4 linked regions of the Alligator mississippiensis genome follow. The protein of the gene in region 2 purifies or fractionates together with the protein of the main gene of each other region. This does not show direct contact. Links are inferred from orthologs where the notes say so. Each region holds a gene or a part of one and is shown on either strand. Other genes may lie near its edges.

Region 1 (7,246 bases), on a different chromosome or scaffold from region 2:
TGCTTCACTTTAGACTTAACTTGATCTTAAGGTTATTTACTTCTAATGCTGAATATTCCCCAATGAATCAATTATATGGTGCAATTATTTGCTCCTGTGGATAAAAGTCAATGCAGAAAACATGATATTATATTTATATTTTTTGCAGACAGCATTCATCGTTTCCTCTCTTATTCATGGTCGAAACCAAGACTTAACACCAAAATCTAAGTAAGTTTGATGCATTAAATTTAGGATCCTATGCGACTCACTTTACAGTGTATCAATATACACTTATCTCCCAAAAATACATACAAAATTTTTAAAATGCCATTTTTTAAAGTATAGCCATTTTTTAAGACTCTTTTATATATACAGTTATATGATAGACAATCCTTAAAAAATTCTGGCCACAAAGAAATAAGAAATAGCTAACAGTTAAAATATATATTTAACTGTTAGTTATATAGGAAGTTGTACAGCAAGCAAAGCTTAAAACGAGAGGAACTTGATTATACTAAAACCTATCCAGGCACAAATAGAAAAGATTGAGAAATATAAATATTAACAATCTAACAAGCAATCAGATAATATAAGTGTGTACATCAGAGTCTATGAAAACATGGATATTGGATATTTTTAAATGCCAGACTGCACATTGCCCGTAACTAATTATTCAGCTTCATAAACTAAATATCTGGGGACTTACCCTAAAATCCAAGAGGCCAAAAAGTGTTCTCTGCTTCTGAATAGTAGATTTATAGATACAATTTTATACATCCTTCTTGCAAGTTTATTTCACCTGGTAGTAAAAAACAGTAGTAAAACATTTATGACTCAAGCTTTCTTCTTTTATCCTTGAAAGAAATATTTTCTCTATGTTATTTCTTGTGTGTATAATCTCTTGTTTCTGACTATTTTGTAAAAATATTGAAGTATCAGTCCACTTTGAAAAATACAAGAAATATTATGAGAGTTAACTGATGTTCCATATAGTTTAGATTTACAGCAAAGATAATAATACAGTTAGAGGAAAACATACATTCTTAACTGCCTTCACTTGACTTCAAAGAGAGTAGAATGAGGTTATGAACTTATCAGCTCTGTGCATAAAATTATTTCCCCAAACTTGTGATTCACTTGCAGGCCAGGGGCCTACAGGAAGAACAAGGTTCAGACCTGTAAACTAGCCTTTAGTTTATCATATTTTCTAATATTTTGTTTTTAGAACTTCTATGATACCATAATCTTTCTCCTTTTTGGACATCATGCATGTAAGGTGTGATGAATTTTTGCATATTGAATTGTTTTGTATATATGTACATGAACCCTCATTCTTGTGCCTACATGGAGCCCCAAAATAGAGATAATGAGTCATTGTTATCTAGCTTGTGTGTATCAGATTACAGGATTGTGAGGGATCTTACTTTGTACAAGTTAATACAGAGTAATAATTGCTGTAGATAATTATAAAAGTTATTTTTCATTTAAAGAGCTTAATTTTGTATATCATAACTTTCAAAGCAACCACTGCCTCAAATGTAGGGGGCTGGAATCGATGATCCTCCGGGGTCCCTTCCAGCCCAAATGTCTATGAAATTATTTATAACTTGTCTGATACAGATAATAATAAAATAAAAATGACTGCTTTCCTAAGTAATACTCTGATTAAATAGTAATACTAATTGATTAAACATGGCTGATGAAGTATGAAAAAAGGGCCAGTCTCAATCTTAGTTAAGCTTATGATAGAAATCTAACAGAGGCACAGGGGTGCATTTTATTACCATGCCATTTACACTAGATAGCCACACTTTATGTTGGAAAGACATGATACTGAAAAAGAAAGTTGCATTTAGTGCAAATCACTTTATTCCATTCTATAACTTTCTTTTTAAATATTTAATCATGAAGGTAATTAGTAAAACCATTTAGAGAGTCCATCAACTTGAATCTTGCAGTAATACAAAGTTAGAAAGTAGAATGAGGTAAGTATTACACTTGGCCTTGCGTCCTTGTGCTAAATTTATGGTTTTATAATCAGATTTCCTTATTCCTGCTTTTCTTTCTGCCTGCGCAAAAAATTCTGCATAAATAAGAGGGGAAGCTGATGCACCCTGATTCTCCATGCTTAAAATTACAAAAACAACATCTCAGCTGACTTACACTAAGAATGTGTGTGCGCAACAATATGAAGTCCTGGGGCCTAAGGATCAACAAGTTCCATATTTTGCCTACAGACAAGGATTCCCAGAATTAACTGTGTACAAGCAACTATATGAAGGACTGCTACATTCATAAACTAAACCAAATGAAGGCACGGGCAAGAGTTTACTCCTCTTACCTTTTAATTAAAGCATTATTAGGCCCTTTGTCTATAAATGCTTAATTCTGCTAGCATGAGTAGCTCTAGTGAACAGTGAGGTTAAACACATGGGTATTTACAGAACTCAGGATTACATGTTATTTTTAATTAATAATAGCAGTCAACAAGTTTTCAAGAGAAATGTGGCTTAAATTGACCGTGTCTATAAAATGTACATAAAGATTTATTCATATAAAATTAGCATATTTGGAACTAAACCACAATATTCTCTAATCACATCTCTCTCAGTCTGCACCCAGAAGCACACAAAGTCTTAGAATGGATTTTGAGTCATCATTTTCCTCTCCAGCATTATGAACTGGATCATTTTATTAATTTAAAGAGATGCATTTGAATCTGTGGTAGCCACAGAACACACAAATGACACAGAAGCCAGGCAGGATTCAAGTGCATGGATGCAGGACCAATGCATGGCTCTCTAAGAACTCCCTTACGGAAATGAGGTCCATCCAGAGCTGACAGAAGCACAACACCATATGCCCAACTGCTCGGTGTCTTCATGGCTCAGTCCTGCAGTCTTTACACATCCTAGATGCCAGTCTGATTATATGGAGTTTCCCCGAGGAAGGCTGGGTAGGAACTATAAGAATGGCAGAAAAGGAGGAGGTTAATGCGTATAGGAAGGAGCCTTGGCTGCCATGCCAGGCTGGGATCATTCACAACCCATTTTACCTGAAGAGAAAAACAGAGCAGCTTCCAGATTAGGGCAGTCCCATTCTGCAACCTTTCCTTCACAGCCCCAGTGCTGGCTTCCAGGAAATCTACCAGCAAGCCTTTCAGCTCCCAAGGAAGGACCCTTCACCTCAGCATCATTTTTTTTTTTTTTAATTCTCCCGTATTCGCTCAAGAAAGCTGGTTTTAAAAATCATTCAAATTCGGCAAGTAATCGCTTGACCCAGGACCACTTTCACCATCGGGCGTTTCAGATCTGGTGACATCAAGCCTCTTAAAACACGTAAGAAAAAACAGGAGAATTTAAGATCCAGCAAGTGTCCCGGGTCTGGCAGCTCCACTCACTGCGCGGGGGAAGACGACCTTCCTCGGGGATTCACGCTCAGGCTCCTCTCCAAGTCCCTGAAAGTCGTCCTCCAAGAAAAAATCCTCCCTCAAATGGTTCCTCTTCACGAGCCGCCGGCTGTCTTCCTCCTGGCGCAGGCCCGGGCGCAGACTCCACTCCCAGGCAGCAGCTCGGAAGGGGAAAAGAAAGAGAAACTCGGAGGCAGAAGCAGGGGTGGGGACGGGGCCGCCGCCCGCAGCGAGGAGCCGCGGCCAGGGCAGGGGCGGCCGCTGCGCGGGGCAGGGCGGGGAGCGGCGCGGCGGAAGCGGGGCTCCCTCCTTCCCTCCCTCCCTGGCTGCCTGCGCGAGCGAGCGAGCGAGGAGGAGGCAGCAGCGGCGGCGGCGGCAGCAGAGGGAAGGGGGAGGCTGTTGGTGTTTGGCGCCGGTGGAGGGAGTCATTCCTGCAGCTGCACTTCCGGTCGGCATTTTGTTCTGAGAGGGAGAGAGACACACAGGATCCTTCCCCCTCCTCCTCCGCTCCCCCCGCTTGGTACCGACTCCCGGCCCCAGGCTGCCCCCTCCCCCGCCCCCACACTCACCCGCGCGGAGGGAGAGGCGGCGGCGGCGGCAGCGGCCCGGCGCGGTGTGCGCCTCGGAACCGGTTCGGCCCGGCCCGGCCCGGCCCGGCCCAGCCGTGTTGATGTTGTGAAGCAGGCTCAGGGGGAAGGGATTTGTCTCGGCCGCTCACCCCCCGGCTCTACATGTTCGCTGCACTGAGGAGGAGACGGAAGAGGAGCCAGCCCCCCTCCCGGCCCGGATTATTGTTGTTATATTATCTCCCCTCCTCCTCCTGCTCCGCGGCGGCGGCGGCGGCCCAGCAGCGGCGGCGGCTCCTCTGAGGAGGGAGGGGGGCGGATTTCTCTCCCCCGCTCTCGGATTCTCGTTGGATTCAGACGCCGATTTGCTCAGGTAATCCCCCCTCCTTGTCTCCCCTTCCCCTCCCTGCGCTCTCCAGCAGCGGCCCGGGCCTCCCAGCCCTGGCGGCCCGGCGCTGCCGGGAGCCGGGGGGATTCGCTCTTCTCCGGGAAGCGGCGAGTAAGTGGCGAGCGGAGGGGTTTATTTCGCCTCCCCCCGCTCCTGCTGCCCCGGGGTGGGCGGCGGAGATCGGCTCGTCCCGGGCTGCCGGGAGGCGCAGGCCCGGTGGAGGGCGCAGGCCCGCCGGCCAGCGCCTTCACTCCAGCTCGGGGATTAGAGAGGCGAAGCGGCTTCTCCGTGACAGGCCTCAACCCGGGGAGCAGCAGCGGCAGGAGGAGGAAACAATGCAATTAGCAGCAAACGTGCCCTGATCCTTTGCCATATTTACAACTTCTCTAGGGCCGGGGGACGGTCCCAGCGCAGACAGTCCTCCGCGAAGTGGGAGAGCGGTGTGAGGAGCCGGGAAGAGAGACAATGTAAATACCCAGAAACAAATATAGCCATTATCGTCCCCGGGATCTTCTCCTGGCACAAACTCCAGGGTGAACCTGAAGAAGTTAATGCGACTAGATTTGTATTCTTTAAAGAACAAATTTCTGAATTCCCTACCAATTGATTAGCGTGGCAATGTCCAAGTTTATTTATAGCCTAAAACTAGCTCTTGTGGAATGATTGACACAAGGCGAGCACCTGCAGACCCCAGGAAATACACACAGACAAATGTTTGAGGTTGGTTACTAACATAATCTCCACGTTTACATGCTCAGTACATTACGTAAATATTAATATAGAAGAAATCCAGGGGTATGCTTTCTAATAAACTGAAGAAAAGGGAAAGGGGTCTTTACAAAGTGTAAAACTGTGACATTTCAGGGATCAAGGTAAAGATGGGCCCAGAGTATTTTAAGGATCAAGATGCATTAAAATTGCTGAAAAGTAAAGAATGTTAAAAAGTGCAATCTTTTCTTGTCAGGACAGACCACTTTGAGGACCTGGGGTTGTTATTGGCTGTTTGTGTCCCTGATATTTGAATATGTAATTAGGTGTCATCTTAACAGGTCAAATGTGTCTGTAAATGGCTGGTGATTAAGTATCCCTTTTTAATAAATAAATGGTAGCAAACTTAAGAGTAAAGTAAACCTTGGATTTCTGTGTGCTGGAGTTAAGAATAGTGTTGAAAATCTTAATAAATTTAAAGAAAACACTGTTAACTGATTAAAAAATACATATTTCCAGTTCAGCTGTACAGCTAGAGGGGAATTTAGCCTAATCCTGCTGTTGTAATACAAAGTTTCATATTTAATATTGAAAGGAAATTTATAAGTGGCTAAAGTGTAGCAACCTAGCATAATCTCCTGCCCCACTATTTTGTAGTGAGATTTTTTTTTTTTAGTTGTTCAGGGAGATCTCTGTTAACAGTATGTTGCTAATGTGTCTATAAAAGTAACTTTTTGGTGTTTTGTGCTTAGGGTCTTACTTATAAAGGATGTACTATCTTGCCTCTAAGCGTCCCAATACATGTTTAAAAGGGTGAAGTTAATATAGCTGTCACGTAGAAGGCGTGTTTTTAATGCTGTAAATCCGTGTAGTAGTCAGTAGCGTGTCCGTGATTTGTATTGGTCAGGGAGCAGTTTGAATTTTAAAAAGCCTGAAGATCCTGCTGAGCCCCAGCCCCGGCCTCCCTCCCTCCCACTAATCTCCCATTCCTGTCTTTGTGCTGCCTGGTCCTGTTAGACACTGTTTGCAACAGGGCCTCAGGCCTACATGCGTGGAGAGGAACCATTTACACTCTGAAAAAGCAGCTTTTATTTTTAAACTTTATGAATTGCAGAGGGAGCCACGAGTGTCTCTAATTGTCCTTCTCTGTGTGTGTAACTGAATCGCTGTTTTCTTTTGGGCCATAGCATGTGTGGAGGCCGAGTGTAGCAGTAGTTTACAGGAAAGAAAGGACTGTGTAGAAATAGTAGTAGCACTTGGGTAGTTTTCATCATCAGGAAGCGACATTAGTTGTAGTGTTTCTTTCCTTGTTTGCTTAAAACAGGTCTCTAGTATGTGCAAAAACTTAGTTGCTGTTAAATCATCTTGATTTGTGCACTTTAAATTTTAAGGATGTTTGCTTTAAGTATGTAAGATGAGCTGGAATTGAGGTGTTGTAGTTATGTAGTTCCTGTCAAGTCTCTCTCATAATATGTTCAGCAGCCTTTAAAAAAAATAAAAAAACATGCATTTCTAGATATTTTTATCTTATGTATGTAAAATAAGAGACACTTATAGACATCTTTAATTTTAGCTGTGTATTTGTGTTTTGGATTTATTTTTTCTTTAAGACATGCAATGTTGTAGATTAAATATGAATTATCTGGTTCATCATTGGCTACTTAGTGATAAGTTTCTTAGGCTCAGAAAAATGCCTTTAAATGTCTGAAAATATAAAAAAAACCCCACTTCTCAGTAAAGTGTGTAGAGTAAGATTTTTTTTCCTTTTTCTTGTTATTGCATGTTTGGTATGAAACAAAACAAAAAGTAGGGGAAAACCAGAAGTATTTAAATTTCATACCTGCTTGATGGTAGGAGATTGCATACATGTCCAAGAAAATATCTAAGTGACATATATGTATGACCAAAAAGAAAATGTCTTTAAAAAGAAGATAAATGCAGGTATTTAAATAAAGTATAACTTAACAGAACTTAAGTTATAACTTAACAGAATACCCGTTAAATAAAAAGAAATGCAAAACTCCAGAACTCTTTGTTCAGAGATGATACCTTTTATTAGACCAACTAAGAAATTGCAAAAAAGCCCCACAAACCCCCACTCAAATGGTTTGTTGTTTTGTTTTTCTGGTGTTTTTTGGTTTAAATTTGTATTATTTGTAAGGCTTCTAAGGTTACTCTGCCTGAAATGAAAGA
Region 2 (7,184 bases):
TGTGTCCTCTTCAGCCTTCACCATCTCCTTCTTGCGCTTGTCATACTCAGGAGCCAGCTCCCCAGCCCGGCTGATCTCCTCAAAGAGTGCTGTGCGCTCCTTGGGGTTCTTCATGGCAATCGACTCCACTGCCCCCTGCCACCCGGGCCAATGGAAGACAAGGTCAGGGCATCATTACCAGGCCCCAGGATCCCACCTCTTCCCAGGCCCAGGATCCTCTTCCCAATCCCCAAGATCACGGACAGGACCTCCTCAAACTGAAGTATCACACCGAGGACCCTCCCAGACAAGATCAGCACCAGCATACCACCAGTTTGCCCCTCCAGTAAGGATAGGGCCCAGAACCACCCCAAAAAACCCAGGATTAAGGCCAGAACCTCCCCCCTCCACAGATCCTAGGATTTAGCCCTGAAAGACCCTACCCTCCAGCAGGATTGGGGCCAGAATACACCTCCCAACCCCCATGATCAGGCCCAAGATGCCCCCCAAGCCCCAGCCAGGATTGGGCCCCCCTTTCCCCCATACACCCAAGACTCCTCACACCACAAGTCCCATACCCCTCCCCCTCCCTCCCAGCTCCACCCCTTGCACAATGGAGCCCCATAACCCTCCTCCTCCTCTGCCCCATCCCAGGTAGGCAGCACCCCCACCTGAAAGACAAGGAAGTTGCGCGCCTTGATGAGGATGCCCAGCTTCTCTAGCTCCTCACTATATTCACTCAACTGCACCACCCGGTTGTTGATCTTGTACTCTGAGGAGCTGCCTAATGAGTTGGAGAGGTGGGGGTCAAGGCCAGCACGGGGAGGGAATGGAGTCTGCATCCTCCCAACCTCAGTGTCAACCCTCCAACCCTTCCCCTCCCCCAAGCTCCTTCCCCTGGTCTGACCATTGCCCAAGCCTTGCCACTTGGCCCCTCCCCTGCCCACAAGCTTCCTCCTTCTCTAAAGCCCAACCCTTTCCCTCAGTTTGACAAGCACCATCCCTTCCTCAAGCCCCATATCCAGCCCCAAACTACACCCTCCCACTATCCCACATTGCACCCCTACCCACAAGCCCTGCCCTTTCCAAGCCCTGCCCCCTAACCAAGCCACACCCATTCTCCACCCTCCTCTGCTCCAGCCCAGAAGCGCACTCTGCCCTACCCTATCAAGCTCCACCCTCAACCCCTCCCCTTTCTCCCAAGCCCTGCACTATGTCCAAGCCCCACCCCTTCCCCACTATGCTCCTCCCCCTGCTCTCAAGCCCTACCCCTTCCCCACTGTGCCATCCCCAAGCTCCACCCCTAAGCTGACCAACGATGACACGTGCAAAGGTGCGATCCTCAGCGCCATCCTCCGCGTACACCATGCTGACATAGGCGCGGCTGGCAGCCGGCTTCCCTACTGGTGCCCCATGGATTAGGTCCCGCAGAGTCTTCACCCGCAGGTTGCTTGTCTTCTCACCCAGCACGAAGCTGATGGCATCCATCAAGTTTGACTTCCCTGCAGAACCAGCAAGGTATTGTGCGACAGAAGGGAGGTCAGCGCAGGCAAGGTATTGTGGGATAGTAGGAGGATTGGTAGGTGCAGTGTACTGTGGGGTGCAGCCTCAGTGTGGGCAAGGCATTGTGGGATAGCAGGGGACTGATGCAGGCAAGACATCATGAGATACTAGGAAGGGTAGCATAAGCAATACACTATGGGATAGCAGGGATGGGGCAGTCAGAGCAAGGCATTATAGAATAGTGAAGTAGTGTTTGGCACATGAAGTATGTTGAGTGATACGATTTCAGTGTGGAGAAGGCATTTTGGGATAGGAGATTGGTGCAAGGAAGGGCTCATGAGAGTTCAGGGGTTGGCATGAGCAATGCATTATAGGATAGTGGGAAAGAATTGCATGAGCAATGCATTGTGGGATAGTGGAAGGATCAGTACACACAATGCACTGTGGAAATAACGCAAATCAAGTGGCAAGGCCTTATGGGACAGTGGTGGAGTTGGCATAAGCAATGCATTGTGAGACAGCAAAAGGGATCAGAGAGACAAAGTCTTACAGGACAGCAAGAAGGGGTTGGCATGAGCAATACATTGTGGGAAGGTATGTCAACAGGGCAAGGCCTCATGGGATAGCAGGAAGATTGGCATAAACAATGCATTGTCGGAGGATCCCTGTGGGGGAAAGACCCCTGTTGCAGGGGGTGGTGGCAGGCACAATGCATTGTGGGATGGGAGATGCATCACAGGGGGTTCCTGAGCCATACCCTTCCCCAGGAGCCACAGTCTGTTCAATTTTAATGTGGGATGGGGGGAGAGGGGTGCCAATGGACTGTACCATCCATGTCATGGGTGGGGGGAGTTCTGTGGGCAATAGCATTCCTATGTGGGGAAAGTCCCCTATGGCACCTAGTGCCGCAATATGGGGGGGGGGAGAAGAAATGCTTTTGTACCCTTCCACCAGCATAGAGGAGAGTTTCAAGGGCCCTTCCAGCGTGCGTCACAGGGGTCTCAGTGGAACATTCCAACTGCCCACCGCCAAGCCAAGGGTGACCTATCCCCCCGCCTACCCACTCATCCGTGGACCCTTCCACCGCGTCTCAATGGAACATCCCACCCGTCTGCCACCAAACGAAAGTTTCCCTCCGGACTATACCACCCCCCTCAGCCCCTCACCCTACAGGGGTCTCAGTGGTACATTCCAGCCGCCCGCCGCTAAGCTAAACGTCCCCCTTGGGCCGTAACACCCAGCTGCCCACTAGAGTAGGGGAGGTCCTCCAGCAGGCCCCGCGTACCGGAGCCGTTGGGCCCGATGATGGCTGTGAAGCGGCGGAAAGGCCCGATGATTTGCCGCCCTTTGTAGGACTTAAAGTTCTCGATCTCGATCAGCTTGAGGAATCCCATGGTGGCGAGACACCGGACCGGATCGTCCCGTCCCGTCCCGTCCGGCCCTACTGAGACCCGCCGGAGCACCGACTCACAGCCCTACCCCCTCACTGTTTTCTGGCCCGCCGCTGCCGCCAAGATAAGGAAATCTCGCGAGAGCACCGGCCTTCGCGAGGAACTAGTCCAAGATAAAAGGGCAGGGCTTCTTTCCAAGGCTTCCTCAGATTGGTCGGCGCTCCCGGGGTCGTTTTGCATAGCTGGCCGCTTCTTCCTCCTTATTAGCCCGCGAGGCGCCGGGCCTTATTTGCATTCGGGCTCCCGCCCTTCTACTTAATAGGGATGTTTATTTGCATAACAAGCAAATAAACTCTTCCCAAACTCTCGTTCCTAATTGGCCCGCGGGGAACCCGCTATTTGCATAAAACTGCGGTTGGGCTGTACCAATGGGAAGGGGAGATTGAGGTGAAATGGGTTGGCCTGTTACCATGGAGACGAGGATCTTAAACAGAAGGCCTCGGAGACAAAGCGGAGCAGGGCAAGGAGGGTTCAGTCAGAGAGCACAGGGGTCAAAAATACGGGTGAAGACAGGGGTCAGAAGTCAAGAGGGACCAACGTAAATTGGGAGTCAAAGGGCAGAGGAGACTGGGGACAGGCTGGGGTCAAAAGTCAAAGGTCAGGAAGCAAAGGGAATTTTGTTTGGGGGCAAGTAAGGGTGAGTGGAAGGGGTCAAAAGATCAGGGAAGGACAGTTAGGTCATGAACCCAGGTGCCTGGGTTCTTTCCTGGCTCTGAGAGGGTAGAGGGAGGCCAATGTGTAGGAGCCTGGACACCTGTGTTCTCTGGGAGGGGAATGGGGCTGGTGGATGAGCAGGAGGTGCTGGGTTCTCTCCCATTGGTACTGACACTTCCACCCCCTCCCCCAGGATGTACAAGGCAGACCTGCCCCACAAGGTGGGGGCAGTGCTGGAGGCCCAGAGGGAGAAGGAGCGTCAGCGTCAGACACAGATCTTCAACCCTCGCTATTGCCGCATGGGAATAAGTCAAGATCCCTGGGTTCCCTCCCTGTTCCAGGAGGACAGTAGAGGCTAGGGGGGGTTGGACCAGGGAGGGACTGGGAGCTCAGATACTTAAGTTCCCTGAGAGGGGAATGGAGTCTGTTGGGGTAGAGCAAAAGAGCTTGGAGCCCAGACACCTGGGTGCCCTGGGAGGGGAGTGGGGGCTGAGGGGGTGAGAGAAGTGGGGCTTGAGATCCCAGACACCAGGGGACTCCAGGAGGCGAGTGTGGGGGCTGCGAAGGTGAGAGCGGGGCGGCAGGAGGGCCTGAAAGCCCAGTCACCTGGGTTGTCTGGTGGAGGGATACGGTCTGGTGGATCAGAGCCAAGGGAGCTCAGGCATCCAGGACCCATCTTGCCGTTGCCTCTCTCCCTCATCTAGGTAGACATGGAAGCCCTTCAATGCCAAGTGGCTGAGCGGAAGCTGCGAGAGGAGACTGAGAAATGCCGGGAGGAGGCATTTGGTGAGCCTGGAAAAAAAAATTCAGGCCCCAGGGACACCCGGATTCCAAGGTTCCCTTGGAGCAGAGATTTCTGACCCCTTCTCCCCCAGATGTAGTGCACCTGCAGGGTGCCCAGGTGGCCCAGATACTGGAGGCCAAGAAGCAAGAACAGGCATGGGGGCTTTGACGGGCCCTGGAGGCCACCTGGGCCCAGCAGCAGGCCCAGGATCAGGCCGCAGAGCTGGAGGATCAGGGCCCCCCTGGCCCTGCCAGGCTTCAGTGCTTCAAGGGTGAGGACCCAGAGGTGGTAGTGCGGCGCCAGGAGCAACAGAATGAGCAGCACCAGGTGCTGGACCAGCAGTGTGAGGCCCAGAACCAGGCCCAGGCCGAGAGGGACTCCATCGGTGATTGGTAGGAACTAGATGCCTAGGTTCTCTGGGAAGGGAGAGTGCTGTTGGTGGGCTTGAGCAGTGGGAGCCTGGACCTCTGGGTTCTGTAGTGGTGGGGGATTGGAATGGGGGGTAAGCTTGGAGTCTACGTGCCAAGGTTCCATTGGGGCTCGGAGCCTGGGCACCTGGGTTCTCTGGGAGGGAAGTGGGGGCTTTGAGCCCAGACTCCTCAGTTCTCTGAGAGGGGAATGGGGCTTAGGGGGGTAAAAGCAAGAAGGGCTGGGAGCCTGAATACCTGGGTTCTCTCCCAGTAATGCCCCCCCCCAACCCCACCCCCAGAGGCACTGGAGCAGCAGCAACAGGTGGTGCTAGGGCTGCAAGCACTGGAACTGGAGGAGCTGGAAAATGTGTGTCAGTGCGCCTGGGCCCAGGCCACTGCCACCTACAACCAGGCACAGGTACAAATGCCAGGGCACTATGGGACCTGTTCCTCCCCCCACCCCCCATGGCAAGGGTTTCATAGATTCATAGATTGTAGGAGTCGGAAGGGACCACAATGGATCATCGTGTCTGACCCCCTGCCCCTGGCAGGAAAGAGGACCAAGGTCAGATGACCCCAGCCAGGTGACTATCTAGCCTCCTCTTGAGGACCTCCAAGCTAGGTGATAGCACCACCTCTCTTGGAAGCCCATTCCAGATCCTGGCCACCCTTACTGTGAAACATTTCTTCCTAATATCTAACCTAAATCCACTCTCAACTACTTTACACCCATTATTCCTAGTCACTCCCTGGGGCGCCTTAGTAAACAGCACTTCTCCTATTCCCTGTTGACCTCCCCTAATAAATTTATAGGTGTCCACAAGATCTCCCCTCAGCTGTCTCTTGTGAAGGCTGAAGAGATTCAGCTCTCTCAACCTCCCCCTGTAGGGTCTAATCACAAAGGCCACTAATCATGCGAGTGGCCCTCCTCTGGACCCCCTCGAGATTCCCCACATCCCTCTTGAAGTGCAGGGCTCAAAACTGGACACAGTACTCCAACTGCGGCCTGACCAGTGCCACATAGAGGGGGAGCATCACCGCCTTTGTTCTATTAGTCATGCACCTGCTAATGCACAACAAAGTGCGATTGGCCTTGTTACACTGCTGGCTCATGTTCATCTTGGAGTCAATTATGACTCCAAGATCCCTCTCTGCCTCCGAGCTGCTGAGAAGGACACTCCCCAACCTATAGGTGTGCTGGGGGTTCCTCCTTCCCAGGTGGAGTACCTTACATTTATCTTTATTAAACTGCATCCTATTTCTCTCTGCCCATTGATCCAACCTGTCCAGGTCAGCCTGAATCTGCTCCCTGCCCTCCAGTGTACTAACTTTGCCCCATAACTTGGTATCATCAGCAAACTTGGAGAGGGTGCTCTCCACGCCCTCGTCCAAATTGCTGATGAAGATATTGAGTAATATCGGTCCGAGGACCAAACCCTGCGGGACCCCACTGCCCTCCTCCCTCCAGGCCAAGAAGGAATCATCCACCACCACTCTCTGGGTGCGGTCCCTAAGCCAGTTGGCCACCCACCTGACCATGTAGGCATCCACTCCACAGTCTGCTAGCTTCCCAATGAGGATAGGGTGCGAAACTGTGTCGAAGGCCTTCCTAAAGTCCAGGAAGATGACATCAGCCTCAGCTCCCGCGTCCAGGCAGTGTGACCTGGTCATAGAAGGCTACAAGGTTGTCATCTGGGGGTACGCATACTGCCAGGGGTACTTGGGAAGGCCCTAGGGGGTACATGAGGGCAAGAGGACGAAGCACCGCCACCCTGCAAAAAGCAGAGCTGGGGCGGAGAGTGGAGGCAAGGGTAGTGGCACCCCTCTGCAGGCTGTACAGGCACTCCCCAGCTGGCCGGATACGGGGCGGGGGGGAAGCTTGCATGCAGTGGCCACTACTACCCACCACCCTGCATTGTTGCTGCTCTGCACCCAGCTGTATGCCATGCGCCCCCCCCCCCACCTCCCTGCATCTGGCCGCTGGGGGTACACTTATTAAAAAAAGGTTGAAAATACCTAAATACCTGCCCCAGGTCATAATAGCATACCTAAATCTCTACTATGCCATGGTGGGATACACTAGTACCCTCCAGGGCCTTATGGGAACACCTATCCTTCCCCCATCCCCAAGGAAGTGTGGGATACCTACCCCACACCATCTCCCAGGGCATTATGTGACTCCTGCCCCACCCCATGCCATTATGGCACATGACACCCACACAATATTATGGGATATTAGCATCTTGGTAGGGCAAGATTGGGATACCTAGATATTTTGTGCTAGTGTACTGTGGGATACCTGGACCATACCCAGAGCATTATGGGATACAACTCCCCACAAGGATTTATAGGACACCTAAACTCACTCCCCCAAGGCATTATGGGATACCTGGATTCCTCCTC
Region 3 (7,683 bases), on a different chromosome or scaffold from region 2:
CCCCTGCCTGGGCAGGAGGAAAACTAGGCTCAAGTGACCCCAGCCAGGTAGGCATCAAGCCGCTTCTTAAAGACCCCCAGGGTAGGAGCTAGCACCACTTCCTTTGGAAGTTGGTTCCAGATCCTAGCCACCCTAACTGTGAAGTAGTTCTTATGGATGTCTAATCTAAACCTACTCTCCAATAACTTGTGGCCGTTATTCCTTGTTATCCCAGGGGGCGCTAGGGGAAACAAGGTCTCCCCAAACCCTTCTGGTCCCCCCTAGTGAGTTATAGATGGTCACAAGGTCCCCCCTCAGCCTTCTCTTGTGAAGGCTGAACAGGTTCAGGTCCCGTAGCCTCTCATTGTAGGGTCTGCCCTGCTGTCCCCGGATCATGCGGGTGGCCCTCCTCTGGACCCTCTCAATGTTGTCCACATCCCTCTTGAAGTGGGGTGCCCAGAACTGGACACAGTACTCCAGCTGTGGCCTGATCAGTGTCACATAGAAGGGGAGGATCACCTCCTTGGCCCTACCTGAGATGCCCCTGTGAATGCACGATAGGGTCCGGTTAGTCCTGCTGACCGTGACCTCGCACTGTCGGCCCATGTTCATCTTGGAGTCAATGATGACTCCAAGATCCCTTTCTGCCTCTGTGCTCTCAAAAAGGGAGTTTCCCATCTTGTAAGTGTGCTGCCGGTTACTACTGTCCAAGTGCAGCACCCTGCACTTGTCCGTATTGAAACGCATCCTGTTTTTGTTAGTCCACCCTTGCAACCTATTCAGGACTTTCTGCAGTCTTTCCCTCCCGACTAGCGTGCCCACCTCACCCCAGATTTTGGTATCATCAGCAAATCTGAACAGGTTGCTTTTCACCCCGTTGTCCAAATCACTGATAAAGAAATTGAACAGTGTGGGCCCAAGGACCGAGCCCTGGGGACTCCGCTGCCCACTCCCCCCCAGGTTGAAAATGACCCATCTACCACCACCCTCTGAGTACGACCCTTCAGCCAATTAGCAATCCATCTGACTGTGTAGGCATCAATGCCACAGTTGCCTAGTTTTTTTAATGAGGATGGGGTGGGAGACAGTGTCAAAGGCCTTGCTGAAGTCCAGAAAGTATTAATAGATTAAATCAGCTATTGTTACAGTCACTTTCTGGTCAGGTCTATCTTTTGAGTCTGCACATACAATACTAAGAACAGCAAACACATACAGTAGGGAAGAAGTTGTTGTCTGCAAGGGGGGGGGGAGGGAGAGGGGAGAGCATGCGATAGGACTCCACACATACCACTTTGCATTGGGATTTTTTAAAGTTACGGGAATTTTTTTCATCGTTCCTAGGATTTGTAAGAACACATTTTAGAAAGCTAATTTTGGGTCTATAGCTGGCTTGATAAAGTGACCTTGTTTCTTATTTGCCAAGTATTTGAAAGGCTTTACCATACTTCACAACCTCCCACATACGTACAGATAACCATGGTATGACTGGCAGTAGCAGTCACAAACACTTCTGGCATCATATAAATGCAGAAGTCTTGCTTTCTTTTTCACTTTGGTCCACATTTCCAACTTGAAATTTCTGACTCGGTTTGCCCAAAAGACCAAACTGTTCTCCAACAAATTCATTTTGATGGTCAAAGCTACTAAGACTCACTCAATAATTAATCTCTCTTGACTTGGCCAAGTTGCATTCACTACACAAATGGATTTATCTTAATTGTCTTCTCTTCCAGATGTAAGAGAACAGATTCAGCCAGGGCTCAAGAGATTTACAAGCTGGTTGGTTTTCATTTTTGAAGATCCAGAAACCATTAACAGATTCAACTTTAAAACATTACAAATCCTGCCCCCATTCCTACTCCCTCTTTGCTTTTCACTCAGTCTGGGCAACTTTATTCAGTTTCATTTTCTTGTTTCCATTCCCTGCCCCCACTTACTTCTCTGACCCAACACAGCTAGTGCTGCAAACATGTGAATGCAAGCAAAACCTTTGCTATAGCTGGAAAAAACAGTCTCTAAAGCAGCTGCTTCTCCCTATGATCTGCAACACTGCGTTTGGGAGGTGGGGGAAGTACAGTCAGAGGCCGAAGTAGGCCCAGCTCACAGCTGCCAGGCAAAGAGGTGCCATTCATCCTCACTTCTTCCCTGAAACCTTCCCCCTTACACAGCATCAGAGGAGAGCAGGGCAGAGGCGGACAGACACTGAATGGGATGAGCTACTTTCTCCATGTGCAGATGGGGGAGGGGGGGAGGCTAGTTTAAATACAGGCCAATTCATGATGTCATTTCCCGTCGTCCCCACCCCCCCCAGCCGGCCCGGCGGACCCAGGTCCCGCCATCTACTTCTGACCCAATTCAGGCTCCCCACAAACAGAGAAGCGGCGGCAGCCTATAGAGGCGATGCTGCCCAGCCCGAATTAGAGGCCACCTGATACTCTGGACATGGCAGGCAGCCGGGCCTGGAAGCGCCTCCGCGGGGCGTCCAAGTCTCCCCCAATCCCCACACCCGCGGGGACTGCCGGGTCCGAGCTGGGCGAGGCCGCGGCCCTGCTGGAACTTTCCAGTTCCCTCCGCTCCGCCCGGGGGGAGAGGAGGGGGGAGGAGGAGACCCGAGCGGAGCTGGGACTGTAGTTTGGGGACGAGGCGCAGCCGGGCGGCAAGAGGCGCCGGGCCTTCCCCGCCTGGGCCTCGGTCCCGCGGCCCGGCCCGGCGTGGCGCTCACCTCCGTGTCACGCAGGATGGACGGCGGCCTGCGGCGGCCGGCAACAATGGGGCACGGCTCGGCGCGCGGTGCTCTCCGGCCTCAGCCCCGCGGACACGGCCGCCCGGGTCCGGCGCCGAGAGCCCGGCCGCGTAGGCAGGGGTGCTTGCCCCGGCGGTTCCTGCACGCCCCTGCGCCGCGGCGGCGGGATCCGGCCTGCGCGGGGCGGCGGCAGTGCGGGGCGCTGGCGCTAGGGCCCCCGGCGCCACCTCCTGCGGCGCCGCTTTCTCCGCGCCGGGATTATCGCCGCGCTTTGAACAGGGCCCTGGACCATCTCTCCGCCATTTGCCCCCCGCTCCTTCCGTCACTGCGCTTCCCACACTCGCCGCCGCCCGCAGCCAATCGCACCCCACCTTACTCAACCGACCCGCACGCCGCCGCGCATGCGCTTCCCCGCGTAGCTGTCACGTCAGCACGCGTGCGCGGCCGCGCGAGGAGCTGCCGGGACTTGTGGTTCCACAGGGCGGGGCCGCCCTCATTTGGAACTAGGAGGGCGGGGCCTGGGGAAAGCGCCTGCTTCCGGTGTCTGCCTCGCACGTGCTGCTGGTGGTACAGTCTGCGCCGTCCCCGCTTTTGCCTTTTTGGGGCTTGGCCCAAGCAGTCCCCAGGGGCATGGGCGCCCCGCGGAGCCGGGGATTTCCGTACACGCCTGCAACCGTGGAGGGGGACCCCGCGCGGGGCCGGGCTCCTTCGGGGCGGGCAGCGGCCGGGGCCCCGGGCGGCCTGGTAGGGGCTGCGACGCTCGTTCTTTTCCCTCTGGAAAGGCGACGTCTGTTTGCAGCCTTAGCACCGAGGAAAGCAAAAGCGAGCACCCGCGTTTCCACGGAGCTGGGAATTCAGAGCCAGACAAGCCTGGGACACTCACCTGCAGACTGTAAAAAATCATATTTAAAAAAAAGGAAATTACAGAAGCACAACTCAGTAGGAGGCTTCACAAGCACCTGCACCGGTTCTGAATAACTTTAAGAAAATGAGCAGGAGGGGAATGGAAGGTAACTGTATCCTTTAGTGCTTGGTTAAGTGACAACATGAAACAGTTAAAATGTGTGCAGACCCGCTTTGTTACTCAGTTTAAAAGAAACTTGATCTTAGAAATGATTGTCGTGCAATTAAAGCACCAAAACAACCTTAACTCCTCTGGAGTAAAATGCAAAAAGAGAGAGACAGTATTATCCAACCATATGATGCCAATCTAACTGCAAAAATTTCAGCCTTATGAGCAGCTATAGCCTGTCCTCAGCACACATTTTATAAAAAGTGGCAATGTGGAAGACAATGCCAAAGGCCTTCATTCCACATTTTTATCAAGACATGCCACTGTTTCCACTAGTACTAGTAAAGACCAAACAATAACTACATACTTCTGAGGGATAAGTAATGATGTTAAAACCCTCTAAAAAAAAGTAAAGGTTAGTGTAGTGACAAAACATACAGATTGTATCAAACAAACATACAGTAGTATCCAAATTTAAAAACAATCTGATTCTAGAAGGTGAAAGATTTTTTAAAGTCTTTATTTAGTTGCTCATATTTCTCATAAAGGATGGCGCTTTACTGATACAATGTTTTTACAAACTTAAGATATCCACAGTTCAAGCCTAGTCCTAAACTTCTCAACCCCCTGAGAAAAAGACTTGGAGGCAAAACTCTTCTACAGCAGAGAGACCTGATTTTGCAAATTCTGAGTAATTTGACTAGGGATTTTCAGGATAAATCTACATATAAATTAAAGAGGAAAGATGGAAGACTGCTATTACTAAACCAAGAGGGAAGGGAGTGATTTGGGAGATTAGCTAAGGATTGTGGTCAGGGATTTCTTTTTGCTCTTTTTCCTCTTTCATTCATCCAGGTTTATTTAAATCCATTTTAAAAGCTTATTTAAAAGAATTAAAAGGCTACATTTCTTTCTTCTTTGCAAACTCAACAAATGAAACAAATAGGCTTGAATTTCTGTGTTTACTTATAACCTTCAGTCACAGTCATGATATGTTAATAGTTTGTAGGGTTTGTGAGCCACACACACTCTTTAGAGCAGGGGTGGGCAAAATGCGGACCACCAAGCCATTCTATCCGGCTTGCAGGGCCCCTAAAAATTTAGAAAATTAATATTAAGCTGCCCTGGGCTGCCTGTCATGTGGCTCTCAATGGCTTGCCAAAACTCAGTAAGCAGCCCTCTGTCCAAAATAATTGCCCGTCCCTGCTTTAGGGAGATGACACAATTGGTCTTGGAGAAGAAAAAAGGTAATTAGGAATATATTGGGGTCATGTGATTAAGAGCACAAGTATAATTTGGGTAATAAAGGGAGACATTCATTTTGGATGACAATAAGTTTAAAAGGTTAAAGATAAAGATCTTTAACAGTTTGGTTGATAGCTTTTGAAGAACTGGTGGCAGTAAGTTACAATAAAAAAAGTAACATAAAAGTGAGTTCATTTTTTCTGGTTGGTTATCTTGTGTGGAAGCTAATAAGTGGTCTGTTTAAAATTCAGGATTCTAATTAACACTGACCCATGATAAATTTTTGTTAGTTCTGGAGAGGCAAGGGTTTTTTGGGGTGATATCTTGTATTGGACCAACTACATGGTTGGGATAAATTTAGACAAACTTTCAAATGCAAGGCATCAGATCCTGAAGAATCCCTTCATCATTGTTAAAAGCTTAGTATGTGGAAGACCAGAAGAACTGAAGATCCTCATCAGCTATAACTTGATTTAAAACAACCTCTTTCTAAGCTCTCATGTACCTGAGCCCCTGTGGACAAGTTCCATTTCTGGTCTTTGTGAGAGAGTCCCACGCATCTTGTATTCCAAAGCATTACATATTCACTGAAGGGTCCTGATGGGAGTTGTGGCAGACAGGGGATAAATTTAATCTAACTTATGCACTGATGGTCCTTTCTTCTTTTTTGGTAGGCATTCAGCAGATGGCTGTAGGCCTAGCTAATTAAAATAAAAAGCTTTACAATTTTATAATAATAACTTAAGGATAAAGGGAAAATGTTCAAAAGAACCAAAGTGACTCACTGCCTTCCAATGGGATTTAAACACACAAACTACTTCAAACACTTCTGAAATTTTTATACAGAGTAACTTTGAAAATGTGGCTCTCTACATTAAGCAGTATTGCTTCTAATATATCTGTATAGCCTAAATATGTGCAAGGACCAATAAAAGGCAAATAGAACCTAAAACCTGTAGACTTTATTTTTTGTCTGTAGAAAAAGTTCAATTAGGTTTGGATTACCAGGCATCTCTATTTTGTTGGGTGTGACCCCCATCTCCTACTAGGTGTCCTCTTCCTGAAAACCCCCCCATAAAAGGTAAATGTTTAATTACCAGATGTTTTTCATTTCTTCTAGCAAGTCAGGTAGCAGTTTAAATCACTCAGCCTCTCCTCAGAGCATTAAGGCTCAGTATCCTCTTAGTGGGCATATCTACAAGAGAAGCTACATACACAGTAGACTAATTCTAGTCATTAGCATGTCACAGCAAAAGTCATGCTAATGACCTAATGCACAGCAGAATTAGTCTTCTTAATAGCATCACAAAAAATTGTGCGCTGGTGCTACTTTGCAGTAGCACTGGTTCCTGTGCATTCAGTTAGTACCTGTTATTATCAGAGATCCAGGTTTTCTCTGATTAAAAAAAAAATCCCCAATTTTCAGATTTAAAAAAAGTAGCCCCAAATCCACATTTTTTTCCATGATTAAAATGAAACACCACTAATATATAGATAGCTATATAGTGGTGTTTCATTTTAATCACGGGGAAAAGTGGATTTGGGGTTACTTTATTTAATCTGAAAATTGGAGATTTTTTTATCAGAGACAACCAGGATTCCTGGTTTTTACAAATACTAAACTGAATGTGCAGTAACCCAAGGATGCTGAGAGAGTTGGTTCATGAGCTTGCACACTGGTTGTTATCTTTGCAAACTCGTGGTGATTGAGAGAGGTCTTAGACAATTGGAAAAGGGCAAATATAGTGCCCATATTTAAGAAAGGGAAAAAGGAGATTCTAGGGAACTACAGACTAGTCAGCCTCACCTCAGTCCCTGGAAAAATCATGGAGTAGATCCTCAGAGAAGCCATTTCTAAACACTTGGAGGAGAAGGTGATTAGGCACAGTCAGCATGGATTCACCAAGGGCAATCACCAACCAGATTGACTTGTTGTGGCAGAGCACCTTTGAGGATGCTCGCCACTTGAGAGCTCTCACAGGCTCTGAGGGGAGCCTGCTTTGGAGGAGCAGCAGGTGAAACCTCCCCCAGATACCATTTTAAGAGGGGAGGTGTGTGGCAGGGCATTGTAGATGCCTGCCACTTTAAGGGCCTGATCCAAGCTGCCAGCAGGTGCCTGATTGTGGCAGCCATTTTTAGATCCCTGGCTGCCTTTATAACCAGATCAGTTCCCTGCTGGCAGGGAGGTAGTAACATTGCCTGGCTGTGAGGCTTCATGTATCATCCTGGAGGTAAGGGAGGAGCTGTAGGGGAGGGCTAGCAGGCTCCTGGTTCTGGGCATGCCCTAAAACTGCACCCTGCCAGGAGTGGGTGGCTTGGTGGGGCTCTCAGTGGCATGGGATTACCCAGGAAATGCCAGGCCAGTTATCACCCTGGTGAGAGGCGGGTAGGGGTGCCTTAATTCTAGTGCTCACCTTTGTGTGGTTCTGGTAACACCAGGGGTAGTGAGGGCCGGGCATGGCTATGGCCACCTGAGCCCTGAGGGGTACAAGACCCCAAGAGACCCTAAGGAGGGAAACTGAGGGCCAGGCACAACTATGGCCACCTGAACCCTGAGGGCTTTGCTTGGTTGCCTTCCTTGCTGGGCTGTGCCCCAGCCTACTGCAGCCCCTGCTGCATGGCAAGCACCCCAAAGGTGCTCCACCACACTTGTATGATGAAATGATTGGCTCTGTGGATGTGGGGAGACTGATGGATGTGGTAT
Region 4 (7,775 bases), on a different chromosome or scaffold from region 2:
TTGTTGTAACAAGGTATACAGTGAAAATAAATGAAAGAAACAGGTTTTCTCACTCACCAACTGCCTTCTTGCAGTCAATATAATTAGTCTGGCTTCCCTGTACCCATTAGTTGTCAAACTTTCCAAAACAAAACACTATCTTACATTTAAGACAAAAGTTGCAGACATGTTATATTTGTATTATTGTAGCACCTAGGAAGCCCTAACAATGGATCAGTTAGGGTGCATTCTATCACTGGGACTTAGGCACCAAATACTTCTGAAGATCTGGATTTCAGTTTCTGTCTTAACTCTAAATCTGTAAAATTGGTAATAATAGTATTTATGTACTTTGCAGGAAGGTAGTTAGGATAAATCCATTAAAGATTATAAGGGTGTACTTGGTAGTCGTGTTGGTCTGAGACCAGAAGACATACAAAAAACTAGAACTCTTGGTTTCAAAATGATGCATTTTATTATGGACCCAGAGGGACAGCCTTCCATCTTCAGCTCCCTCTGTGAAAAAAAATGAAGCTTACTTCCTACCTATGGGGACTTTTTACCATCTTGTACCATCTATACTTTTCTCAGAGCCGGACAACGGGACTTTGATCCCGAAAGCTTGCAGAAAAGGATAATCTTCTTGCGATTTCCCACTTGGTCTACCGTTTTGGAACTAAGAGTTCTAGTTTTTTGTAGGTCTTAAAGATTGTAAAGAATTCAGAGTACAGTAATAAGCACAATATAACTACCTCAGATGGAAATGCACATAATCCAGTTAATCTTCTTTTAACTATTTTGGCTCTTCTTCAGTAATGGGAACTGGCATTCAAGAAAAAACCTGAAAATACATTAAACTTTGCATGTCTTTCCCCAGTCCCCTTTCTCACTGCATAACCCTAAACACAGAAGACCACGATGTGTACATATCAGTTTCCTTATAACCATTCTTGCCTTCAGTACTCTGCCCAGTTCCCATCATTTTTATTCTCTGATCTATTTCCTTATTGTTGCTTATCAATTTTTTACTACACCCATGGTGACAGCCTCAACATTTAATTTCTTTCCCTCTCCCATTCTCACAGTTATGCTTTCCTCTAAGCTGCTCCTTACATAGAATAACATCTCAACTTCAGTGCATCAGACCCACATTCTTTTAATTCAAATCACCCCAGAAGACACTGGTTGTGGACAAGTATGCAACATACCACTTTTAAAGTGGGTCATGGAGAACTTATTTCAGACAGACTAAACCAATGTAAGTTTAAACCTGAATGAAATGGGCTTAAAGTTCCAGTAGTTTATAGCTCCACTTATAACAGTATAAATGCTGACAGTCTAAAGCAGTGGTTCTCAATCTTTTTAGAGTTAAGGTACCCCTCAGAAAATGCCACCACTTAGCTTTCACTTGTTTTCTGACTATGAAAAAATAAGAGCAATTCTTCTGTTGCAGAGCGCTCAGAAAGACTACAACAGATCAGAAGGCTTTGACACTATTGATTCCCACTTGAAATCTCTGGGTTTATCTTGTGAATCGTGTAGGTGTTTACACACCTAATATTGCATGATATCCTTAAAAGGATCTCACAGGGCCCCAGGGAACAATGGTACCCTGAACTATTATTACTGAACTAAAGAGTAACATCATTCAACATAACCCATGGGATTCTGATAGAATTTTAAAACACTGTAAATGTTTCATCTGTCTACACCAGCTATGTTATGCATTACTCTGTTTTAAAGTAGAAAGCAGCAGTCATGAAACAGACTTGCTTTGTTCCATTACAGACTTTTTGCTTTCCAAAAAACAACAAATCACCAGGACTGGATACTATACATGAGTCTTGTGTGGTCTCAGTATCTATTAAATACTTCTTTTATTACTACTATCTTAGAATAAACTTCACTTATTTTGTGCCTTTTGCACCCTGTCCTTGATTTATATCTGCTGGGTTTGTAGGGTATTAAACTCCCAGCAAGAAGAAACAGGCTATGAAACACTCCATCTAGATCTAGTTCTTTCATTAGAAGAAAGGAAAGGACCAGCGTGAGAGTTATAGAATATGAATAAGACAGAAGTCTAACCAGCCATTTGATTTGGTTGTGCTAAAAAGCCACTTTTGTTCAAATATTTATATTTAGGGACCTATTAATTCGCAGTTTTGCAGAACCCATGAAGTCCAGGATTGTCCACAAAATCTGTGAAATCAACAACAACAAAAACCCTTCAAAATAAAATGCTAGCTCCACAGTGAGAGCCAGTGGTCCTTGCTGCTGGGAGGGGAAGGTGCCAGCTGGCAGCATGAAGGACAGCAGATAAAATGGCAGCTGCCCCCTTCCCCCTCCTCCCTCTGCTGGAGCCTCTCTACCGACCATCACCAAGGGCAGGGCTTCTCTGCCACTCAGCATCGAGGGGCATGGACACCATGAAATGCCCTCGAAATTGGCTCTGCCATGAAGTCCTTACTTATATTCTAAACTATCTTAAAAATAAGTTAACAGACTCTACCAAGAATATTCAGTAAATCTGGAAAAGAGACCTTTGGAGACGGTCATGTGAATGAAGGTTAACAGATGCAAGTTTTGTTTTTACCTCTCTCACCTTTATTAATTTGATTTTTCCATTCCAATTTTTATGTGGCAGACGATTAATTTGTATACACCCCCATCAATTCTCTCCTTTGCCTGGTCCTTTTATAATCAACAATCCCACTGGCTTCACTGTACAATATCTGTGATAGTTCTGATTAACTGAAATGTGAATAATCTATAGGCTAAAGGCAAGATTCACAAAAGAACACAGGCATCTAAAATAGAACTTCAGTGGAATTTAAGCATCTAAGTTAAAAGAACTCACAAAAATCTACACCTCTGATGTGTCCAGCACACTGCAGATACCAACATTTTTAGCAGACATCCCCCATTGGCACTTAATGTTAAGCTTTAAATTAAAGCAGGGCTACTACTTACATGGTTATTTGTAGACTAAACATGGGCTGGAATTTCACAGAGGCTCACACTCCTGGCAAACCATTGCTTAATCCTGAAACATTCAAAGGACTGCCCTTCTAACTGGGAAGTGTGTTGTCTTAATCTGTTCCTCCCCCCAGCCTGTTCTTGATATACAAATAATTGGTCTGGCTTTCTTGTAGGTCATTGGTTGTCAAACCTTTCAAGGAATTTAATTCTGAAAACAAAGAGAGACAGAGAATATTGAATGTACTCATTGTTACTATTATGGTAATTATTCATATTATGATAGTGCATAACAGACCTAAGCCTAGACCAAGATTACTTATGTCAAGAAAAGACTAAGTATACCCTATATGTTTCATAGATTTTATAGACATTAGGGCTGGAAGGGACCTCGGAAGATCATCGAGTCCAGTCCCCTGCCCAAAGGGCAGGAAGTCAGCTGGGGTCATAGGTTCCCAGCAAGATAAGCATCCAGTTTGCTCTTGAAGGTGTTCAATGTAGGCACTTGAACCACCTCCAGTGGCAGGCTGTTCCAGACCTTGGGGGCTCGGACAGTAAAGAAATTCTTTCTTATGTCCAGCCTGAAACGGTCTCGTAGTAGTTTATGACTGTTCGACCTAGTCGTCATCCCTCAGGGCGCTCTGGTGAACAAACATTCCCCCAGATACTGGTGGTCACCCCTGATAAACTTATAGGTGGCCATCAGATCACCCCTGAGCCTGTGCTTTTCCAGGCTAAAGAGCCTCAGGGCTCTCAGCCTGTCATCATAGGGTCTGCTTCCCTGACCTCTGATCATGCGCGTGGCTCTTCTCTGGACTCTCTCAAGCCTCTCCACATCCTTTTTGAATTGTGGAGCCCAAAACTGGACGCAGTACTCCAGCTGTGGCCTCACCAAGGCCGAGTACAAGGGGAGAATGACGTCCGGGGACTTGCTTGAGAAGCATCTATGGATGCAAGCCAGCGTTTTGGTTGCTTTACTAGCCGCAGCATCGCATTGCAGGCTCATGTTCATCTTGTGGTCAATGATGACTTAGCAAGTCTTCAGGAGCCCTTTGGAGACCAAAGAGATTTTGAGAACCTCTTCAAAGTCTGAAAAGAAGCCAGAGCAGGTCCATCGCAGTCTGTATTCTAAAAGAGCACGTTTACCTACACTGAAATGGAAACTGACAACATTGAGAAATGACTGCCTACTCCAGTTGTCTCTCTCCACCTTTGGCTGAGATATCACTTCAGAGAACATCTATCATGAATCACAAAATATTCCTGTAGCTTCTGCAACTCCTCTATGGTAGGAGGAATATTTTTCTCTTTTTCTACTGTGTCATAGAAGTGAGAAGTCAGGCTAATGGCCTTTTCTGTGTTAAAACAATGCAATCACACATAATTAAAAGAAAAATAAAGATAAGTTGTGAACAATCAATATGTACGAGACAAAATAATTATGATATAAACTTTAATGGCCTTTATATATAAAAATGCAACCTGACCAATTAAAATGTACATTTTTGAGAACTGTAAAAGTTGCAGAAACTTGTTTGGCAAGAAAACTTTTTAGAAATGGCTAAACAAGCCAGTTCTTAATATAAACATTAACCTAGGTATGGGCTGGGTATATGGACTGTAAGGTGGATAGAAAACTGGCTGAATTGTTGGGCTCAAAGGGTTGATGTCTAGTTGGCAGCCAACGTCAAGTAGTGCACCCCAGGGGTCAGTCCTGGGGTTGGTTTTGTTCAATATTTTCATCAACTGGAAGATGGGATGGAGCGCACCCTCAGCAAGTTCGCAGATGACAAGCTGGGTGGAACAGTAGATACACTGGAAGGTAGAGCTAGGATTCAGAGAGAACTTGACAAATTGGAAAATTGGACCAAAGAAATTTCATGGGGTTCAATAAGGACAAGTGCAAAGTCCTGCACTTAGGCTGGAACAATTCCATGCACCAGTACAGGCTGGGGACCAACTAGGTAAGCAGCAGTTCTTCAGAAAAAGACCTTGGGTTACTGTGAACAAGAAGCTGATTATGAACCAACAGTGTGCCCTTGGCACAAAGAAGGTTAATGGCATACTGGGCTGCATTAGTAGAAACGTTGCCAGCAGATCAAGGAGAGTGATTTTTCCCCACTATTCAGTATTGGTAAGGCAACATCTGGAGTATCATGCCCAGTTTTGGGCCCCACACTACAGAAAGGATGTGAACAAATTGCAGAGTCCAGTGGAGGGCAACAAAAATGGTTAAAGTGCTGGAGAATATGACTTCTGGGGACAGGCTGTGGTAACTGGGCTCATTTAGTCTGGAGAAGAGAAGACTGAGTAGGGATTCGATAGTAGCCTTCAACTACCTGAAGTGGGGTTCCAAAGAGGATGGAGCTGGACTGTTCTCAGTGGTACAGATGACCAAAAAAAAGGAGCAATGGTCTCAAGCTGCATAAAGGGAAGTTTAATTTAGACATTAGGAAAAACTGTCTCACAAGGAGGTTAGTAAAGCACTGGAACAGGTTACCCAGAAAGGGAATGGAATCTCCATCCTTGGAGGTTTTTAAGACCTGGCTAAACAAAGCCTTGCCTGGGATGATCTAACTGCGGATGGTCCTGCTTTTCAGGAGGGAATTGGACTAGATGTCTTCCTGAGGTCTCTTCTAACCCTAATGTTCTATGATTAGTAATTAGTCTGTTATTTCTTAAGCAGTACCTTTGTACTGTCAGGCTCTGTCAATATAGTGGTGGTTTCTCCTCAGCTTGAGAAGACAAATACAAAAAGCAGTTCCTTGTTCATTTTAAGATATGGTTCATATTAGTTTCAGTTTCCTGAACACAGTGGGTGAAATTCTGACCCCAGCTGAAGCCATTCATAAATTTTCTACCGACTTCAGTGAACCCATACATCCACCTAAGGTATAGAGGGGCCCCTATCCATTTAATTCTCACACCTTTGGAACAAGGACTTGAAACTTGGCAAGAGTAAAAAATGTGTCTTTTCATGGAAATAACCCTAAATATGGTAAAGCTGTAAGTTTTTGCAGAACTGAAGATCATACATGCTCATTAGATTTGTTGGAGCTGGCAGCTTTATCCTCCAAAGAATCTACCTCCAGAGAGCATGCTCAGTCCCTGTACCTCTCTTACATGATACCTGGTCAGAGTCCATCCTAGACTTGCAGGTGCTTGAGAGATTTTCTCTTCCGTTGCTTCTCATAGCTCTGAAGGCTGCTGTCATGCCTTGTTCCAGATCTGAGATTAGGGAAACTGTTACTCCCATGCTTTCAGTGCTCCTCATGCTGGAGTCTTGATAGCAAGAAGCAGCAAGAAGGAGCCCAATTCCAATACAAAGGCACTAACTAGGGTTAATTGGAAGTGACAGCAACAAAGCATGGAGTATAGAAGTAGAAAAAACAGGATCAGGAAGCAGGATGGCAGTGAATGGAAGCAGAGGAAGAGAGGGAAAGAAGACTTGCAGTTGTAGTCTGTAGGAACAAACAATTATGAGAGCAGGAACTGTGAGGATTTTAGGACATGCACAAGCTGGGGGCAGGGGAGAGAGAGGCGGAAGGGTCTATAACTACCAAAGTGCACTTCTCTCCAAAACCTGAAATTGAGCCTACATAATGATTCAGAGTAAATAATAGCCTATTACTGCTACCTGTCATCATGTCTGCTCAGGCAGCTGAAGTCTGTGCTGTAGCTTTAAAAATCTAAGTACAAAAATAGCTAACGTAAGAAAATGTTATAAGAACTCAAAAAGTATGTAGTGCCAGACAAGTTTCTCCATGGAATTTTTATTTAGCCCTCATGCATATATGTTATGAAAATATATTTAGTAAACTGTATACATGGATGCATACCAGTTACTAATAAGGTAAAATCAAAATCTGGTTGTACTTGACCAAGAAATTGCAGAAAGTTCACTCCACTAGTCTCTCAGCTCACTATGATTCATACACTGAGGCTAAGATGACCACATATACATGGAGAAAATAAACAGTCGATTTCTCATTCTTGGTTCCAGAATGAAAACACTAATTAATTCTTTTTAACATTTCATTTTTAAATACTTTCCACAACACTTTCAGTTTAAGAACTGCTTGGCATATTAGTATAAGCTTGTTTTGTATAACATGCAGTAGATAGGACTATTAAAAAATTCCTGGCCTCTCGTGTACAAATATAACCATCCAGTTTTAGAGGAGGGGTGGGAAGCCACTAGTATGTCAAATGTGCTAAAATAATAATAACCAGTAAATAAGACTCTCTTACAATTCTATACCAATAGAGGCAGGTTAGATTAGAAACCGGGAAATCAGGATTTATCAATTAAATTCCCAGTTTTTAAGTTAGCTTCTTTTGTGACCCTGGATAAATTATGTAGCCACTTTGTGCATCAGTTCATTAGCTGGAGAACTGAGTTATTATTTGCTCATCTTTATAAAGTGGTTTAAGATGCATAGGGTTCCATTGCTGAAAGGTGCTTCACGCTAGAGGATAAGCTGGCAATTCAGGCTGACCTGAACAGGCTTGCAAGGTGGGTGGATCAAAACCTGATGGCATTCAACACTGAGAAATGAAAGGTACTCCACCTCGGAAGAGAAAACCCACATCATACTTATAGGCTCGGCAGTGCTACACTCACTAGCACCACAACCGAAAGAGACCTGGGGGTCATGACTGACCACAAGATGAACATGAGCCACCAATGTGATGCCACAGCTGGCAAAGCAAATAAAAGTCTGGCTTTATTTGGCGTTGGTGAGTACTGCATCTAATTGTGGGCTCCACACTTTAGAAAGGATGTGGAGAAGCTTGAGGGAGTCCAGAGGAAAGCCACA

The links.
Region 1: the proteins of SMC1A (region 2) and NIPBL purify together in Homo sapiens (affinity purification with mass spectrometry; 3 studies listed by BioGRID and IntAct, with this or other methods). This does not show direct contact. The link is inferred for Alligator mississippiensis from reciprocal best matches to the Homo sapiens genes SMC1A and NIPBL.
Region 3: the proteins of SMC1A (region 2) and WAPL purify together in Homo sapiens (affinity purification with mass spectrometry; 7 studies listed by BioGRID and IntAct, with this or other methods). This does not show direct contact. The link is inferred for Alligator mississippiensis from reciprocal best matches to the Homo sapiens genes SMC1A and WAPL.
Region 4: the proteins of SMC1A (region 2) and PDS5B purify together in Homo sapiens (affinity purification with western blotting; 8 studies listed by BioGRID and IntAct, with this or other methods). This does not show direct contact. The link is inferred for Alligator mississippiensis from reciprocal best matches to the Homo sapiens genes SMC1A and PDS5B.

The regions. Positions count from the first base shown.
Region 1 is NC_081826.1:278,648,612-278,655,857, reverse strand, and holds the start of NIPBL (nipped-B-like protein), read left to right. Parts: upstream 1-4,241; 5' UTR 4,242-4,330; intron 4,331-7,246. UniProt on the Homo sapiens protein: Plays an important role in the loading of the cohesin complex on to DNA. Forms a heterodimeric complex (also known as cohesin loading complex) with MAU2/SCC4 which mediates the loading of the cohesin complex onto chromatin.
Region 2 is NC_081831.1:28,313,700-28,320,883, forward strand, and holds the start of SMC1A (structural maintenance of chromosomes protein 1A), read right to left. Parts: upstream 3,017-7,184; 5' UTR 2,877-3,016; coding exon 2,768-2,876; intron 1,482-2,767; coding exon 1,293-1,481; intron 764-1,292; coding exon 651-763; intron 136-650; coding exon 1-135. UniProt on the Homo sapiens protein: Involved in chromosome cohesion during cell cycle and in DNA repair. Central component of cohesin complex. The cohesin complex is required for the cohesion of sister chromatids after DNA replication.
Region 3 is NC_081829.1:42,183,430-42,191,112, reverse strand, and holds the start of WAPL (wings apart-like protein homolog), read right to left. Parts: upstream 3,010-7,683; 5' UTR 2,702-3,009; intron 1-2,701. UniProt on the Homo sapiens protein: Regulator of sister chromatid cohesion in mitosis which negatively regulates cohesin association with chromatin. Involved in both sister chromatid cohesion during interphase and sister-chromatid resolution during early stages of mitosis.
Region 4 is NC_081824.1:424,476,241-424,484,015, forward strand, and holds the start of PDS5B (sister chromatid cohesion protein PDS5 homolog B), read right to left. Parts: upstream 3,013-7,775; 5' UTR 2,973-3,012; coding exon 2,950-2,972; intron 1-2,949. UniProt on the Homo sapiens protein: Regulator of sister chromatid cohesion in mitosis which may stabilize cohesin complex association with chromatin. May couple sister chromatid cohesion during mitosis to DNA replication.